Arabidopsis thaliana: one gene and its partner. The protein of the gene in region 1 interacts with the protein of each later gene in a pairwise test. Each region holds a gene or a part of one and is shown in the gene's direction. Other genes may lie near its edges.

What was found.
Region 2: the proteins of AT2G04050 (region 1) and CNGC13 interact in a protein complementation assay, tested with the Arabidopsis thaliana proteins (one large-scale study listed by BioGRID).

What each region holds. Positions count from the first base shown.
Region 1 is NC_003071.7:1,337,822-1,341,580, reverse strand, and holds the start of AT2G04050 (MATE efflux family protein), read left to right. Parts: upstream 1-2,112; 5' UTR 2,113-2,310; coding exon 2,311-2,556; intron 2,557-2,647; coding exon 2,648-3,192; intron 3,193-3,287; coding exon 3,288-3,374; intron 3,375-3,459; coding exon 3,460-3,516; intron 3,517-3,592; coding exon 3,593-3,759.
Region 2 is NC_003075.7:435,672-439,430, reverse strand, and holds the start of CNGC13 (cyclic nucleotide-gated channel 13), read left to right. Parts: upstream 1-1,839; 5' UTR 1,840-2,027; exon of another isoform or gene 2,028-2,159; 5' UTR 2,160-2,188; coding exon 2,189-2,217; intron 2,218-2,343; coding exon 2,344-2,866; intron 2,867-2,939; coding exon 2,940-3,451; intron 3,452-3,577; coding exon 3,578-3,689; intron 3,690-3,759. Other genes in the region: AT4G01020 (helicase domain-containing protein / IBR domain-containing protein / zinc finger protein-like protein), read right to left, coding at 1-345. UniProt on the Arabidopsis thaliana protein: Putative cyclic nucleotide-gated ion channel.

The sequences.
Region 1 (3,759 bases):
CAAATTTTTTATCCGCTCTTAACTTTTTTTTTTATTATATACAAATCAAATTTAAGGAAATAACTCAATAATAAGATATTTTAACTTTAAATTCCTAATTTTATTATATCCATATAAAATCAATTTCTTTTTATTGTTTTAAATTCTTAAAGAAAATATTTCTTTATCTTCCATTTACATAAAGTATTGTTGGTCAATTGGTAACTCGATAGCGACATAACGTTTTCAGTACATTTATCAGATTTTATATAACTTGTTTTTTCTTTTGAACCGACATTATGAGATCTTTAGTCAAGTTGGAGGATTTTCCATTGAAAATCATCTTATATCATAAGCTTTAAAAATTTTAATTGTGAAGGTTTAAATCATATGTTTGTAATACATGCATTTCCATTTCACCCCAAAAAAAAGGTAATATTGAATATATTAAGTTTTAATTTATAATAAAACATATCAATTTCACACAAAAAGAGCCAAAATATAGTGCATTGAAAACTTTTAATCAAGTAAAATGTCTTCATTAAACATATCATAATTTGTAAACATCAAAATTATTACTTCTAATAATTTCTATCGATATATTAACAATTATAAAAAAATATTATATATAATTTAATGTTAATATCATTCTATATTCAAAACTAAAACCAAATATACAATTCACGCATCGTTTGGATAACTTTCTAGTATATATATATATATATTAGAATGAAAAAGTCTTGTAGAGCATTAGACCACTAATAATTAAAAAAATTTATAATTATATTGCATTTTTTAATACAATTAGACCCACTAATAAAACTACAAGTATTAAAGGTTCACCCGACTCTCAAATTTGAACCTAATACTAAATTATACCTCTCTCTCTTTTCTTACTTTTTAATATTTAGTTTTTAATGGTCAAAACCCTTTTTTTGTGCAAAAGATAATTTCATTCAAACTTAACCCATATGTAGTACAAATTTTAAACAAACATCAACCTCATGGTTGGAAACATCAAAGAAAACCACAAGTTCTCTCACAAGAGAATGGTAAAGGAAAATGATATAAGATAATTTGACGGTAGATCCATACATCGAAGACAAGAACAATGTAGTAACTTGCTACAAGCGAGAGAATGGTGAGTCGAAGACAATTACACGAATATTTTGGGAGATTGTTGAATGGTCACGGTCCAAACGAGACATAGTGACGTTGATAAAGAGTCTTTAACCTTGGATAACAATGGCTCGAAACACGCAGCTTCTACAAAGGTGATTAAGGTATCCAAATGGTTTTGCAAACTTAAAGTCGGAGACAAACCAAAAGTTCGTTCTATAAAAGAGGATGATTCAAAAGTTCTCTCTATAAAAGAGGATGATTCTATCATAAAATTCTTAGACTTATATGAATAGTATGAGCTGCTCTTTAAGGCACTAAGATCTACCACCAAGGTTAATAAAAGCACCTTGTCTAGACTATCTATAGGTGTCAACGTGATGAGAGAAAGGAGTCCACGACCAATCTCAAAACCATAACCCTGCCATCAGATATCTAGTGTTTGACAAGGAAGAAAGAAAAACAGACCTGGACCAAATTGGTAAATAGGCCTACCCATTAGCATTAGCTTTAGGCCGTGGTAAATTTATTAGTGGGCCAAAGGCTGCCCAGCCCAATTCGAAATGGGGATCCAAACAAACAGCGGTTTTGCCCTCTTTAGAATGCCGCTTTTGTGAAATTGTGAGAACCCTTGTTAAAAAAACTCGCGATGAAGTTGCTCTCAAATACTTTAATGGCTCACGGTAAGGATGCTGTTGTTGTGAGTCACGTGTTTGCACTGTGTAGTTGCTATTTAAAACAAATTCTTTTTGTTCAAAATTATTTTTTTTGATAAATTGTCAATCTCTGAATATTAGAACTTGATTCCCAAGTAATCTTTTTCGAGTTGTTTTGTTGTTTAGTCATTGATTATACGAACTTGGTCCCCAAGTATATTTCTTGTTCATGCACTTCCTTATTATCCTATTGGATGACTGTTGACCACAACGTCCACTAAAGAGAAGAAACTATACAACGTCATTGCGAAAAACTACTATACTTTTATACTTTAACGTGTAGACATAATAATATACTTTTTTGAGTATCTTCGGTGGAAAATATAGAATACCTTTTACTGGTTGAGCTAAGAGTCGTGTAAATTCAATATTCTAGTCCCACAAATTTCCAAAAAGAAAAGTCTAAACATTGGTTTTCGTTGTCTGTCTATAAAAGATAAGAAGAATAACATCAGAGATTATACGCACACGGCTTTCAACATTAGGAAGGACAACAATGGAAGAGCCCTTTCTTCTGCAAGATGAGCACCTTGTCCCCTGTAAAGACACATGGAAAAGTGGTCAGGTTACCGTCGAGCTGAAGAAAGTGAGCAGCTTGGCCGCTCCTATGGCCGCCGTGACCATTGCTCAGTACTTATTGCCTGTCATTTCAGTCATGGTCGCTGGCCACAATGGTGAGCTCCAGCTCTCCGGCGTCGCTCTTGCAACCTCCTTCACAAACGTTTCCGGGTTCAGTATTTTGGTAATGATATGCTATAACTACTCTCTCCTCTTAAGTTCAAGATCAAGTTGCCTCTCAAATCTTGATAACACTATATTAATTCTTTGTGCAGTTTGGGTTAGCGGGTGCACTAGAAACTCTTTGTGGCCAAGCTTATGGAGCCAAACAATACGAAAAAATCGGAACCTACACATACTCTGCAACTGCCTCTAACATCCCTATATGTGTCCTCATATCAGTTCTCTGGATTTACATCGAAAAGCTCTTAATCTCTCTCGGTCAAGACCCTGACATCTCTAGAGTCGCTGGCTCCTATGCCTTGTGGCTCATACCGGCTTTGTTCGCCCATGCGTTTTTCATCCCACTGACTCGGTTTCTGCTAGCACAAGGGTTGGTTCTTCCACTGCTCTACTGTACCCTGACCACTCTTTTGTTCCACATCCCTGTTTGCTGGGCTTTTGTTTACGCGTTTGGTCTGGGAAGCAATGGAGCTGCCATGGCTATTAGTGTGTCTTTCTGGTTCTATGTTGTGATTCTCTCATGTTATGTGAGGTACTCCAGCTCCTGCGACAAGACTCGCGTATTTGTATCCAGTGATTTCGTGTCTTGTATCAAGCAGTTCTTCCACTTCGGAGTCCCATCAGCGGCAATGGTTTGGTAAGTCGTTTTTAAGTTTCTTGTTGGTCAAGTTACATACAACAACCAATGCTTTTTTTTATCTTGCTTGCGTTTTCTTGGTCTTCCTTTAATAGCCTAGAATGGTGGCTATTTGAGCTACTCATACTCTGTTCAGGTCTTCTCCCAAACCCGAAACTCGAGACCTCTGTTCTTTCAATTTGGTAAATATATATCATATAACGACTTCTTTTTATTTTTATTATCCTCTTTACTAAAAACTAATGAATCTTATTTCTTTAATGCAAGTCTTACAACAGCAAGTTTGCACTATGTGATTCCAGGTGGAGTCGCGGCGGCTGTGAGGTATGAACTCAAATTTTTAACCAAACATATTCAACATCTTCTTCCTAAACAATAATAGTCATTTGGTTTCTTGCAGCACACGCGTGTCAAACAAATTGGGAGCTGGGATTCCTCAAGTTGCTAGGGTTTCAGTATTGGCAGGGCTTTGTCTCTGGCTTGTAGAGTCAGCTTTCTTTAGCACACTTCTCTTCACATGCCGAAACATTATAGGCTACGCATTCAGCAACAGCAAAGAAGTTGTGG
Region 2 (3,759 bases), on another chromosome or scaffold:
AATTTCGCAAAGCAAAGCGATACTCTCGATCTCTTGCTTCTTAGACAGCTTTGTGTCACTGTTAGCGGCGGCGGGGTGAAGCAGCTGAACGATGAAATTAGGCCTAGCCCGCGTGACTGGAGGAGAGAATCCCGACGACGGAGCACGATCACGTCTGTAATTTGGCGGGAAATTAGTGTTATGGTACTGAGAGTGTTGCTGGTTCCAAGTAGTACAGTGGTTGAGCGGCGGAGAAGATTGTGCAGAGCGAGAGTTATAACGGTTCGTTGAGGATGAGGGAAACGACTGCTGACGACGATCAGTCGTCGATCTCCCACCGTCTGAAGGAGGAAAAGAGTTCCTCATGATGAGATGATGCCAGTTTTTTTTCTTGTTAAGAATGAGAGAGCGAAAGAGAAAGAGTCAGAAGTTGAAAAGAGTCACAGAAGAGTCAGAGAGTTATATCAATCAATATTAAAACCCTATTAAAATTTATTTAACTTTTCGTCTACTCTTTCCTTTTTCTTTAACCTAATTTAATTTTCTTCTAATCAATATTAAAACCCATTTTGTTACTATCAATTCTTTAATTATTGGTTCGACCTATAGAAACATCCAGAAATCCAAATTTGAGGATAAAAGTGTTAAAGTAACATTTCTTAGTATTTCAATTTTATGTTTTTACCACATTTTAAAATTTAAGTTAGAAATAGTGTATCTACCAATGATATTGCCATATACGTATTAAAATGTACATATCATCAAAAGTAAATATGAAATCTTAAAGGTATTAAATAGTTAACTCATATTCTTGTAAAGTTTAATATTTGTATACCATTTAGATTTTATTCAAAGCATTGAATTTTATTAATAATTAGTTAGTAGTTTCAAAAACTATTTTAAAATCCCTACAAAAAAAAAACTATTTTCAAATCCCTACAAAAAAAAATACTATTTCAAAATAAAAGAAAATAGAAAATATTGAAAGCAGAAAATATAGAAAGGTGTTAACAAAATTATATAAAAGAAAAAACAAACAGAAAGTGTTACATGTTTTATATAAAAAACAATTTGGTTAAAAATTTCAATAACCTCATATCATTTTTTCTCATCTGCTTAATTAATGATATTCAAATGAGTTATTTTCAAAAAATATTGCTTATATAAGTGATGATATGATGCGGTTCGCTACAAATTTTTCGTGCCAATAAAAATTTCATATATTTTTCTACATTTTTTGTCAACATCATATATTATTATTTCCTAATTTTATTAGAACTCTCGTCTTTAAAAAGTTTTAAAAGCGTCATTTATCGTTCTTTTATCTACAAAAAAAAACAAGATTTCATGAGTCAGACAAGACAAAAGCCATAAACAACACAAAAGTCCTGCAAGATTGCTCACTTGGGCGGTTGGGCCTATATGAAAATTTACTATCTCAAAATTTAACTAAGAGCCCATAAAAACTGTAAGATCTTTGCTTTAAATCACATTGTCTTCATAGATTTTGTGATTCATGGTAGATTTGTGAAGATCTTTGGTCATCTTTTTGTTTACATTTGGCTTATTGAGTGTAGAGTGTGAACAATCTGCTATGAAGTTGGTAAAATTCTTTGGATCCAAACCTTTAAATCGTAGCATATTTACTATTTCACACTGCTAGGATCTGTTTATAGCTGATGCATTACTGGAATCTATGATGTTTACTGTGTTGGTCTGATATATAACAAGTTCTGAATTTTAAAATCAAATTCAATATCGAATTGGGCTTTTAATTAAGGTTAGGCCCATCAAATGTTTTTGACTCTTTAATAATTCCCTCTCTTTTGTCTTTTATTGTAAAATGCACACAATTTCGAAGAAACTGCCAATGGAGTCTCCATTTTCCAGCGCCATGCCAAGCTTGACTCTACGATGATAGCTTATTTGACTGCTTCAAAAAAAAACTTCAGAGAATTAATTTCGAGAATTTTCCCAATTTCAGATCATCGGAAAATTCTTACTATAATCTTTCTTATATCGCTTCTCTCAGTTACTTCAACGTTCTGGTCAGTTTCGGATATAAATGTTTTAATTTCTTAGTTTCCGTTTCTTCTTCTTCTTCTTTTTTTTTTTTTTCTGTTACTGTAAACTTGGGGATAACGAATTAAAGCGATCAAATCGATGTTCTTATGATTCAGGATCCGTTATAGCAAAAAAAGCTTGACTCATGGCTTTTGGCCGCAACAATCGTGTAAGGTTGTTGTTTGCTTGCTTTCTTTAATCTCTGTCTTTTTTTTTTTTTAGAATGAATTTACTGAGAAACTATGGATATGAATGATTCTCAGAAAAAATATTCTTTTTTGTTGATGATTTTTTGTTTAGGTTCAGAGATTGGATTTCAGAGGGAACAGAGTATGGTTACGGAAGAAATAAAGCTAGACCATCTCTAAACACAGTTTTGAAGAATGTTCGTAGAGGACTTAAGAAACCTTTAAGTTTTGGTTCACATAATAAGAAGAGAGATTCTAATTCTAGTACCACTACACAGAAGAATATTATAAACCCACAAGGATCTTTTTTACAGAACTGGAACAAAATCTTTCTTTTTGCTTCAGTGATTGCTTTGGCTATTGATCCATTGTTTTTCTATATTCCTATTGTTGATGGAGAAAGACACTGTCTTAATTTGCATCGTAACTTGGAGATAGCAGCTAGTGTGCTTCGCACGTTTATAGATGCTTTCTACATCATTCACATTGTGTTTCAGTTTAGAACTGCTTATATCTCTCCTTCTTCTCGTGTTTTCGGAAGAGGCGAGTTGGTTGATGATCCTAAAGCTATAGCCATCAAGTACCTCTCCTCCTACTTCATCATCGATCTTCTTTCTATCCTTCCACTCCCACAGGTAACCTTTAGTTCCTAATGGTTTTATAGTTCCTTCTTGATGGTTCTTTAATATTCTGTTGTATCTGCTGCAGCTTGTAGTCTTAGCTGTCATCCCCAATGTCAACAAGCCGGTCTCTTTGATCACTAAGGACTATTTGATAACTGTCATATTTACTCAATACATTCCAAGGATTCTTCGTATCTATCCACTTTACACTGAAGTTACAAGAACATCTGGCATAGTTACTGAAACCGCTTGGGCTGGAGCTGCTTGGAACCTATCTCTCTATATGTTAGCCAGTCATGTGTTTGGAGCCTTATGGTACTTAATATCAGTAGAACGAGAAGACAGATGCTGGCGTGAAGCTTGTGAGAAGATACCAGAAGTGTGTAACTTTAGATTTCTCTACTGCGATGGAAACAGTAGTGTTAGAAACGATTTCCTGACTACCTCGTGCCCGTTTATCAACCCTGATGATATAACAAATTCAACTGTCTTCAACTTTGGTATCTTTACTGATGCTTTAAAGAGTGGGATTGTTGAATCAGATGATTTCTGGAAGAAGTTCTTCTACTGCTTCTGGTGGGGTTTGCGTAATTTAAGGTTTGTAACACTCTCTCTATCTAGTTATTAGTAATTTAGGATTCATGTGACACACTTGATGGCTGGCTAAGATATGTTGAGCATGAAACACTAATCTGATCACTTGCTGTTTCTCACTCGCTGCAGTGCATTGGGACAAAATCTCAATACAAGCAAATTCGTTGGGGAAATCATATTTGCTGTATCAATTTGTATATCTGGACTAGTCTTATTCGCACTACTTATCGGCAATATGCAGGTATATATTCATTTCACTGCCTTTTTTCCATCACTTACTTGATCCCCAAGGAAGATAAAACACTACTGAT